3 linked regions of the Oryzias latipes genome follow. The main gene of each other region encodes a partner of the protein of the gene in region 3 in a complex. Links are inferred from orthologs where the notes say so. Each region holds a gene or a part of one and is shown on either strand. Other genes may lie near its edges.

The links.
Region 1: kansl3 (region 3) and kansl2 share a complex: the UniProt entries of both Homo sapiens proteins name them as parts of the NSL complex. The link is inferred for Oryzias latipes from reciprocal best matches to the Homo sapiens genes KANSL3 and KANSL2.
Region 2: kansl3 (region 3) and ogt share a complex: the UniProt entries of both Homo sapiens proteins name them as parts of the NSL complex. The link is inferred for Oryzias latipes from reciprocal best matches to the Homo sapiens genes KANSL3 and OGT.

What each region holds. Positions count from the first base shown.
Region 1 is NC_019865.2:25,931,447-25,935,097, reverse strand, and holds part of kansl2 (KAT8 regulatory NSL complex subunit 2), read right to left. Parts: intron 3,269-3,651; coding exon 3,178-3,268; intron 122-3,177; coding exon 1-121. UniProt on the Homo sapiens protein: Non-catalytic component of the NSL histone acetyltransferase complex, a multiprotein complex that mediates histone H4 acetylation at 'Lys-5'- and 'Lys-8' (H4K5ac and H4K8ac) at transcription start sites and promotes transcription initiation.
Region 2 is NC_019868.2:18,366,220-18,370,314, reverse strand, and holds the start of ogt (UDP-N-acetylglucosamine--peptide N-acetylglucosaminyltransferase 110 kDa subunit), read right to left. Parts: upstream 2,866-4,095; 5' UTR 2,540-2,865; coding exon 2,503-2,539; intron 1,187-2,502; coding exon 1,006-1,186; intron 1-1,005. UniProt on the Homo sapiens protein: Catalyzes the transfer of a single N-acetylglucosamine from UDP-GlcNAc to a serine or threonine residue in cytoplasmic and nuclear proteins resulting in their modification with a beta-linked N-acetylglucosamine (O-GlcNAc).
Region 3 is NC_019867.2:17,067,772-17,071,422, reverse strand, and holds part of kansl3 (KAT8 regulatory NSL complex subunit 3), read left to right. Parts: intron 1-117; coding exon 118-275; intron 276-370; coding exon 371-434; intron 435-528; coding exon 529-717; intron 718-3,651. UniProt on the Homo sapiens protein: Non-catalytic component of the NSL histone acetyltransferase complex, a multiprotein complex that mediates histone H4 acetylation at 'Lys-5'- and 'Lys-8' (H4K5ac and H4K8ac) at transcription start sites and promotes transcription initiation.

The sequences.
Region 1 (3,651 bases), on a different chromosome or scaffold from region 3:
GCGAGGTGAAGAAGGCAGCGCGGATCGTCGGACTGACCCATGTGCACCGTGCGGCTGCACGGGACATCTTTAATGCCGGGACAGATTTTGAAAAGAACCTGGTTGCTGTCTTGGTAAATGTCTGAGCATCTGGCTGTCAAGGATAATGTGTTATCTTTGCTATCATTTACAGGAAACATCATTGGGCAAGACTTGGTCATATGCTTATTGATAACTAACTTCTTGTTGGTATGCTGCAGTGAGTGGAAAGTACCAGCCTGCTATGCAAGGATTAGTTCTGCCATTTTTTGTCCGGAAGCCATTCATTGTGCTTAAAACCCACTCCAATGAAAATGTGTTTTGAAAAAAGTTCTTTTCTGATAATGGAGGACATATAAAGAAAATTAACGTCAAATTGTGTTTCTGAGTCTCTCTTAATTCAAGTTGTTGTGAATCAGGAGCAGACAAAAAAAATGCAGCTTGAAGCTCGCTGTAGTAACTTCTACCACCCGCAAGCTCTCTGCTCCGCTCCATTCTGATGCGTCCACTTGTAGATGGCTACCTCCATCTTTGTTTTCCTAGTCTGAGCTGGAATCTGACTGTATGGCAGGATTAACTCCTGCACCATTAATGTTAGGTTGGGTTGTGAGCGGCTGTAAGCTAGCAGGAAAGCGTGTAAACAGATGGATGACGGGAAGTACGAGGAGACTTACTCCACGCCAACCGTCCTGCCCACAATGGAGAGGCGAAGTGCTGCCGCTCTGCAGAAACTATGTCCTAGAAAAGGACAGTTTCTTAAATTTTACCTCAAAATGGCATCATCATGATTAAAAGACCACTGAGAACGCTTTTACAATAATAGTGTAGGGCTGTCAGCTATTCTGTACAGTCAATGAGTCTTTTTTTTTGACGTTTTTTAAATAATTATAATAACCACCAGCCACAAAGTCATTGGGATCACAAAGAACAACAAGAACTTTACGAGGCAGTATAGCTTTTCCTCGACGATAGTAGACGACAGATAAGAACTTGCATTTCTTGCTGCATTCACACCAACCGCGCGTGGTGCATTCAAGGACGCTCTCTATGCGGTCTTAAGAACACGCATTAGCATCAGACAAGAGCCAGACATGCAGGTAACGACAGAAGATTCTTGTTCTTTTGTGCATTTACTGTTTTTTTTAGCGCTCGTCCGCCACCTACAATAGGAAGAGGCTCGGAGCGCAAAATCAATGCAGCGCAAATCACGTAAATCCTGCTCCAGACGTTTTTTCACAGTTCTGTTCCTATAAATAAATTCAACCTGACACAAACCGCAATTATTACTGTCTCCTTCGTGATCGTGTTTTCAACAGCTGGTACATCTTTGTTTAGAAGCAGACGTCACCCACACATCACTGCTAAACCCACGATTGGTCACAGTGCTGCATTCCAGCGTGAGAACCTTCAATCGCTTGAACCTCCAGTGCGCGATCAATCAATGCCCCATTCGTACGTAGAGATGGTGACCAGACTTAAAAACCTGCAAGCGACGCGCGATCACAGGCGTTCCGGACGAGTGAGCCTTAAATTCTGGTCTGCGCCGTTGACTGTAGACCGGGGGGGAGCCAGTGCACATCAGGAACGGTGCACGGCACACTTTAACCTTGACAAAAATCCCGCGGCACACAAGCATCCAAAAAAAAAAGCGAAATTCATGGTCTGTATTGACCGACAGCCCCCCCCTCCCGCAATCTCACGTGCATTTTTGTGATAATTGTGGCCGGAAAAGCAGGAAGTTGCGGCTGTTTTTTCTAAGAGATGAAATAAAATTTAAATTAGAAAATTTAGAAACTGTTTGTTTGTTGTGGTTTCAAGACGTTTCACAGGGACGACTCATTGTGCGCTGAGACACTGTCCCTTTAAGCCAATGCATCATGGGAGATGTAGTGTGAAAACTGCCGAAAAAGGGCAGACAAACTCTGAGCTTCATTGTTCTGTTCACTTGTTCCACGGTCTGACACCGGATTCTGTGGAAAGCTACACCGCTTAAGACGAGCTTTAGCTGGTATTTTTGTTAGAACTGAGAGACTTTATCAGCAGAATTAAGAACAAGGAAGTGAAGATTTAACCACTTCTTATTGGTCAGACTGATGACATGTGATTAAGCCTTCAAGAATGATTGGCGGAGACAGTTAAAGGGGCGGGACTTTTCCGCAAACTAATATAGCTGCAGGTAAATCGCGGTACCGTCATTCTTATTAAAATGTCTTTAATAGAATCAAATAAACACAAAGAAATAAGTATTTTAAGATCTTTTATATTCCTAACTTCTCAGTGTTTTATCAGGGCCTGTTTGGATGAACAAAGAGCTGATTTCCTGGAGATGGAAAATGTTTTTAGATCAGTAAATGAGGGCAATTTCCCACGACACACTTTACCATCTCCCACGGCACACTGGTTAAAAAACACTGGCTTGGACGATGGTTTAGTGCAGGGATCAGAACCCCCATAGCTTGCCAGCAAATTATGGCTTTTTTCTTTTGTGCTGAAATATAGCTTACCTGCAACCTTAAATTTTTTTTCGCTTTTATAAGGATGAAATTGAAATTCATAACCTATACATATAAAATTTAAATTTTTGTGAAAGCCCCATATGCTGAGCATTAGCAGTGCCTTACTTGACCTCCACGGACTGAACACCACCACTATCACATTTTAGAAAAAAGAAAATTGCACATCAATTTACATAAACAATAATCGTTGACTAATCGACTACTGAAATAGTCGTTAGTGTCAGCCGTACTGGAGTGGGTCTTCCATGAGTGTTTACCCATTGATAGAAGCTCTCTGTCTTTTTAAAGGCTCAAACAATTTAGAATTGCACACAGAATCCTGTCAAAGCAACAGTTTCTCCAAACAGGGTGACTAAAATTTAAAACCTTTTCATTAAAAAAAAAAAGGTTAAAAAGTGTAATTATTTTGTTCCTTCCAACTGAAATGATTAGCTCCTTTTTTACAGGCGAGGACAAATCAACAGACCACAGGAAGGATGTTAATTTAGGCCCTTTAGAAAAACAGCAGTTACAACAAACTACTGCTTTTGATCAGAGCCAGGAACAAAAAAGATTTTAAATAATCAATAACAGAAATGCAAGGAGTGTAAAGAATGTAAAGAAACAGATAATACTTTAAAGATGGTTCACATGGAAAGGATACGTGAAACACAGTGACGAGCCATTGGAAGGCAAGGATTGGTACATCTGGTTCCCTCCATGAAGGAGATGCATGTGTCATTTGCTGGTTTGTTCTGGAAGTTGGACAAACAGTCATTTAAAAAAGAAAAAGAAAAAAGTCACAATGTTTAACGTCAATACATTTGACACCAGGCAAAACGCAATGCTCTGCTTTCACAGACAAAAACATGTTTGTGGCTGCTTTAAAGCAGAAAAACAAAAATGGGTGAAATGGAAATTAAAGGTGTAAAGACCTCAGACACAGCAAACCATCTCTCCATCAAAACACGATGGGAAGAGGATTGCTACCTGTCCCTGACTACACTAACTCATTTTTCACACACTGTCAAAATTACTACCCATACTGGAACAGTAGGTGGCAATATTTGGTCTTTTCACAGATAGACGCCTATCAGCTGGCCAGCATGCCACTATTTAAGCTTTCATTCAGTTTACA
Region 2 (4,095 bases), on a different chromosome or scaffold from region 3:
AGACTGTTTTAGCACATTTAAGATTACCATTCATTGCAATTTTGCGGTCTTTTGCTATACGCGTATTGCACAGCTTGATATCGCAATAATGATACATTTGTGACTTATTGTGCAGGCCTAATTTACATCATGCTGTCTGCATTCTGACTTTCTTCTAATGAGAGTGGATATAAAAAAGGAGTGTTTTCTACAAAAGAAGCACCCCTCAGATTTGTGACAAATGTAGAGTTGGCCTGTGCTTTCAACTGGAATAAAACTGCCTCAAAGTCTGCCATATGATCAAAAAATGTCCCTTCTATGTTTGCAGAAGCTGTAGAAAAATAAAATACAATCGTCCAGACAAACAAAACTGCTTGTGCTACTTCAAACGAGTTAACAATAATTTCAAAACATTTAGATCAGTTAATCTAGGTTTTTTATAAGAAAAATAGTCATTACAGTTATTACAATTTGAGTAAATTTGGAAGTTAAATATGTACTGAATAAAGAGGCAAAAGACTTCACTCTAAAGTTTTGAGACAATTTATTGTTAATTAAAATAAGGCTGGGGAGGCCAATTACAATAAGCTTTGTGTTGACTTTAGTTCAAGGTTTATCAGTTCTGTCGGTGATTAGAGTGAAAATACTAGGAATAAATGTGTTGCATGATTAAAATTCTCTATACTGGAAACAGTATGGTAGATGCTGATTGTCGATGATTTGTGACTTACCTAAAATCATATCTATTTTATGTGTTCTTGTCAAATTTACCATCTCAATTTTATTTAGCATCTACTTGAAAACAAAAACATGTTTTCATAACTGGAAATAAATTCAGGTGTCAAAGGATTAGGGAATCATCAATAGAGGCCTCTTTAAGAAGTAGAAATAGCACCTCAGCTAAAAAACGGCTGGTTTCTTCTAACAATAAAGAAAGTGTTGGAAATACCATTTCTTGATCCTTTCATTTGTAAAGCCCTTCCATTCTGCTGCTCTCATTTGCCAGCCTGTATAAAGTGTTCTCACCTGTCAAGTCTTCTGCACTGGAAGTGAATGGAGGACAGCAGCAATAACACTCCAGTATTATCAGGCTCCTGCCTCCACAGCTGCATGCAGTGGCGCTCGGCCGCCTCAAAATCTCCTGACTGATACTCCCGGTGTGCAAGCTCAGCCAACCCTTGGAAGGAAAGCATACGTTTTGTTGGTTCTGGACAACCAACACAGGCCAAGGAGGGGGGAAACGACATGTTAGAGGTGATGAAAGAAAATAAAGACGACAAATGAAAAAACAGGAAGAAATAAAAATAGAAGCAAACATGACAATGTTTGTATTAAAATAAATGCCTGACAAATGTAACTTCAAAATGTGATAATGGGTAAAAATGATGACGTCACAAGAGGGAACATAAGGGGGACACTTCACAACTTTTATACAAACTATAAGCATCTGTACATATAAATTAATTACAATTTAATGTATATAAAAAATGCACACTGACGCTTTTTTCCAACTAAGGAAACGCATAATTTATATGTCAGACTAGCTTTTCCAAAATGCAGAGTAAACGAAAACGTTATTAAGTCTATTCGTCATCAAACAGGTGCATCTTGATAGAGAACAGGGAGATTGTGGCTCCACCTACTGTAGCATCTACGTCACTGCTACAAGCTTTTTCCAACAGCATTTTTATCATCTGCTGCTGCTAATTCACGATTGAATTTTAATCTTAAATTTCTTTACATATCATCCATTATAAGAAAAATGCTACACGAACAAGTTAAAAACACGATTTTCATCGAAGTGGGTCTTTATTGTGGGGGTGGGGTGTGTGGAAAAAAACTGCACCACAACGCACGCAAAATCTGCTAATAATCGCGTTAAAGTTAGTTTATCGTTAAAACTGAGCTTGTTCGTCATTTTCTAATTTTGAAAAACATATATCCCTAACATTCGCCGTCCCTCCCAAAAAAAAATGAATTAAAAAATAAGATATCTTTGAAGGCATTTTAGTAGGACACTTCATTTCAGCGCCCTTTATTGCAAACCGAAACGCCCCTTAGCTGGCGGCCATTTTCTCAGACAAAAACCACGAGATAAATGTTCAGTTTAGGATTTAAAAAAATAAAATGTATGAACATAGTGACGCCCAAGGAGGAAAAATGTTGCAGCGCCAAAGATTTAATCGTTTCCTACCCATTTAAACGTCACATCTACAAATACCAACGCTAGCTCGTCTTGACTTAATACTGTTTAGGTTAAGACGCCAAATGAAGGAATATTCGGTACAAATTGGCGAAAAATATAATAAAATAGCCTTATTATAATATATCTATTAATACATATAAATTGGTACCGTGGTGTTAGAAGAGCGGCGCTACTGGTTTACATACTAGCATCCTCATTTACCTTATTGCTGTGGATTACCAAAAGGGTCATTGTTAGATTAAAATTTACTTTTAAAAACTATTTTAAATCGTTGCTTCTTTCTAAAGGAGGTGCTTTTATTTTTTTGAGCCACTAACCTGTACTGTCTGCCACGTTTCCCACAGAACTCGCCATCTCCCCAGCAGTCTTCGTTTCTTGCACGGCGGTCGTCAATGTGTCGTCTGGGAGCTCACAGCTTCAGAGAAAAATAGATGTATTTCTTATAACTAACTGTGGTCTTTCTGAGACGAAAACTGAAAGCACGTTGTTGTCTGGCTAGGTAGACCGGGTTATAGTTACCTACTAATCTCGTATTCAGAATAAATTTCCTAAAGCCCTACCTTAAAATGCCGCTGTTTGGGTATATTTACACAGATAATGTAGTTACTGCACCTACATATGACATAAAAAATATACCGCTACCGTTCACGATATTCTATCTGCACAACAAAGCAGCTAGTGAACGTAAAATGGCGAATTGGGTGGAACTCGTTTTTGTGATCAACTAGATCCTGACACCGGCATTGATTGAAAATAATAGTTGGGCATTAATACATGTGACTATAAACCCAATATACATTATTATTTTTATTGTATTAAGAAGTTATACATATACATATATATAACCTGATGTAAAATTATACACTTAAGGTAAAACCACGCGGAAGAATACAATGGTGCAGTGAGACTCAAACGGTAAAAGGAAGCAGCACTGCTCGGAGGTATCTGAAAGAGTCACGTGTCAGCTGTGCTGCGAGGAAGTGGAAGGTGCGCTGGTCTAGTAACAAACACATCAACATTACATAACCGTGGGTTGTTTGATTTCTTTTTATTTTCTTTTAGTTCTTCTTGTAGTTTTATTTATCTTTTTATTTTATTTTAGTTCTTCTTGTAGTTTTTATATATATAGACACACACAAAAAACATATTCAAATACACACAAAAGAAGTTCAGATAAGATTTGTAATTCCAGGGACATTTAACAGGTGTTAGCTTTTATTTTATTTTTAACTGCAAAGGGTATTTTCTTAATGTGTAAAGCAAGCATTAAATGTACAATCTACTGTTAAATATCTTTCCACATAAATACTGTTTACTAATCCTTACTAGTTACATATATTTTGTCAACTGATTTTTTTTTAAACTGTAGCCTGATGGATAGAGTTCTGGTTAAATCAACATCAATTGCTATGTGAAGGAAGTTGCCAACAGGCTCAGTTTACATTGAACATCACTGACAGGATGTGTTTGCACCAGAATAACTATTCTTCTAATCTTCAAGTCCCGAGCTTAAACAACTTTATTTCTATTTCTTTTTAAAATATTTCTAGGACTTGCAGTATGTTTATGGTTTTTTTCAACCAAGCAATTTTCCTGCAAGATTAATCGACATCTTCTAACACATCTTATTTTTTGCCAATATTTAATGTTTTTCCTTAATATGTTTTGCCAACATTGATATCCAAACATAAACCCTTGTTTTTCTTTTCTTAATTATGTTTAAATTAATTAGTTTTTGTTTTAACCAAATGTTTTTTAACCCTGTTTTTGCAAACAGCAAATGTACATTTAAGATAAAAAAACAAACAAACTCCTGTTTCTGACATATTAAAAATGTTGCTGGTGTGCTGATGCTGTGATCTGTCATAAATTTGCAAATAAACCAGTTTACTGCAAATTTTAAAATCTAC
Region 3 (3,651 bases):
GCTGTATGTCAATAGCATTTCTCTAAAAGATGCTTTTGCCTTTAGTCTGTAAAATAAGCTGGTATTCAGCTTGCAGTTTTGTTTGGTCTCTATTGATGTGCTGTCACTGGACTGCAGGATGTGGACGACCCACTGCTGGACATGAAGACTCCTGTGTTGTTTGTGATCGGGCAGCATGCTCTGCAGTGTAACGCAGAAAGCATGGAGGAGTTTAGAGAGAAGCTGAGGGCAGACAACAGCATGGTGGTGGTGGGAGGAGCAGATGACAACCTCAGGTTGGTGGATGTCTTTCATGATAATGTGAAGTATGGCATCATATTAGATGCTTTTAGGCCAGTCTTGTTTTTAATATTTATGCATCTCTTTACAGAATCAATTCAGCAAAAATGAAGTCTGAAGGTCTTACACAAACCATAGTGGACCGCTGCATTCAGGTTATTATAGCTGTCTGGTGTTTTGCTAAACTCTTTTTATCTTCTGTTGTAAGTTTTGAACACGGTAATGTAAACTTTTCTCCTGTGTTTTCAGGATGAGATAGCCGACTTCCTCTCCGGTGTTCTTACCCGGTCAGAAGGTCATGGACATGGAACAGGAGAGATGAGGGACTTGGATACAGAGAAGAAGAAGCGGCCCAGGCGGGAGCTGCCTTTTGACATGGAGAGAGGCCGACCTTCCTCCCCGGCGCTTCGAGTTCCCATTTCCCCTTCGGGTTCTGAGGTTAGAAAATCTTCATTTCTATCCCACTGAACAATTTGATGAGCAATGTATCCAGAAATATAGAGAAAATTGCTGATGTTTCACATAAAAGCATGCTAATGTGATTTCACTGCATAACTTTCAGACTCAATGCAGTAAAATTCCCTGTAGGGTTACTAAATATTAAACATGTTTTTCTCTAAGGCTGTGTTTTTAGTTGCTATTGAAATTTATACCAACTACCTTTCACCTTTGGCTTACTGAAAGTAAAAAAAAAAAAAAGGAAGTGCAATGAGCTTCATCCAGTGTGAATCCTTAGGCAAGGTCCTTCACGCTACTCCCTTGTGGCCCCCAACTTTGTGGCCACAAGGGGGCCACAAGTCTGGGTCGTCCTGTGCCGGTCCCCAGCCCGGATAAATACACGGTTGGGTCAGGATAGGCATTTGGCGAAAGAATTTCTGCCAAATCACTTGTGCGAATCGGTGAAAGCTGATTGGCTGTGGCGATCCCTGAATAGATATGCTGAAAGGTGTCATTTTATTAGGTGATGCCTTTATAAAGCCAAAAGTTTATGTTTTTTTTTTTGTTTTTTTTTTTTTTTTTTTAACTTGTCCTGTCCAACAGCTAGGCAAACAGATGAGAGCTGAGGGCCTCTTGTGTTGGACATATTTTATTCTAACAAGAGGGGTTATTCATCTTCAGACAAACCAAAGGTATGTCTGAATAAACCCCTTTTGTAATTGAGGCCAAACTTTATTAATTTCAATCATGTTTGAAAATCTTTGGTGTTGGACCGGACGGAAAAGGAAAGAGGGGAACAAGAGAGAGGGACGTTAGAGAGAGGGGGGGGTAGGAGGGTGATAATAGGAGGGGAAGGGGGGTAAGACCATGAAGCAGCATAGAGCAGGCAGGTTTACTGGTTGTTTATCGTTACGGTACGGTTCACATGTAGTACAAAAAGGGCGGGGCCTGTTCACACACACTCAAATATTATCAACACACCTGCTAGCCGCAGAAATGTCCACATGTCAACATGCACACAAAACAGATAGTGTTCACGAACGCATACTTATGCCTTTAAACCAACTAGTGTGAAATCTTTCATTCATTCAATCATGCAAACTATTAGTGCAAAGGTGAGCTAACACCTGTGCTCAGGTGAGTGTTTATGTTCTTCTAAAATGGATGGTGGAATGTGAAAAGAAGGAGGAGGAGCGCCCAGCCACCCCCACACCCATACCCCCGCCGCAGCAGCAGCGGCAGCCGGAATTCCCCCAGCGCCACACGGGAACAGGCAGGGAACAACCGCCCCCCGGGCGACCAAGACCGCCACCCAGGCCAGGGCCAGCAGGACCGCCGCGAGGCCCCCAGAGCCAGAGAGCAGGGAGGCGCAGGGGGAAAGAGAGCGCCGCCCCAGCCCAGCCAGGAAAGCAGCCCCCCGCCGCGCCGGAAGAGCCCAACGCAGGGCCCCACCGGAGAGGGACGCCCACAGCCCCAGACGAGCACCCCACCACCACCCAGGAGTTCCGGGCATCCCCCCGCCCCGACCCCAGGTACGAGCCAGGACCCCCCAAGGGAGACCCGCTCCGCACTCCAGGCAGCCACCCACCCGGCCCACGGTTGGTCCAGGTAGGAGCAAGGCAGGGGCCCGCCGCCCCCGCCCAGGAGGGGGGAACCCCGGGGAAAAAAGGGCGGCCCATAAGGGATGTTATAAATATGGCCCGACCAGGCTCGGCCATGTTGGAAGTTTGGCGGGGCCCAGCGCCCAGGGGCAAGGACCAGGACCCACCCCCCAGGGACACGAACACCCCCGGCTCAGGTGTAATATGAACCCCCCCACCGTGCGGAGAGAGCACCGCCGGGCCCAGGGAGCCGGCACCCAAGGGACACGGCCGCCATCGCCAAGGGGCCCGCACCCCCCACCAGGGACGGGGTAGGGGACAGATGGACCCAGGTCCCACCTTCCTTGTAAAATGTGTGTGCGTGTATGGGTGTTTGAGAGGGTGTTTGTGTGCATGTGTGTGTGTTTATGTTTGAATGTATATATTGAAGGGGGAGGGGTGTGTGTACTAAGGGGGGTGCAGTTAAAATTGGCGAGTAGGGCACTAAGGGGACATCTCCTGATTACTCACAGTGATGTCCCCTCACCCTCCACACCAAGGGGCCCTAAATGTCTAAGGTGCGGTTAAAATTGGCGGGTAGGGTGCCAGGAGGACATCTGCTGCTTGCTGGCAGTGATGTCCAAGCACCCCCCCTACCAAGGACCCTACGTGTCTAAGGTGCAAATAAAACCGAAAGAGGGGGGGCCCACTCCATACGGCAACCATAGGAGGGGGGCCACTCCCAAGTAGCCCCCCCCCAAGGCGCATCGCAGGCTAAACCCCCCACCCCCTCACCCTAATATGAGGTTATATAAGGAAGGGGGTAAGTTGGGGACAGCTGGTAGACTGTCCCCCGGTGGTCAAACAGCCGTCCCCCAGCCCACCCCCAGCAAAGGGGCCAGGGCCACCCAGCCCAGGGGCCCACCCCCGGAGGCGCCGACACCCCAGGCCCGGCACCACCCACCCCACACAGAGAGAGAGGAGCCAGAAAGCGTCGCCCCCCCCCGGAGCAAGCCCAGGCCCCCACCCCCAGACGCCGGCCCTAGAAGAGCTCTGGTCAGGCCTCGACGGGACCGAGGAGGCCAACCGGCCGAGGCAACCACTGATTGCCTCAGCGGAGACCCCGACCCGCTAGCCCCCCCGACCCGTACTAATAATGGGCCCCCCCTCCCCCCCAGAACGCCCCCCCACAGGACAGGGCCGACAAGCCCCCCACCCCACCCCACCCCAGACCCCGCAGCCGAAGCGGGTGACACCCAGAGCGACCGGGGGCCCCGAGAGGGTTGTCCCGTCCCGTCCCAGAGCCAGGGAAGGGCCGATCCCAGCCCCAGGTGCAGATGGGCAGCCCATCCGG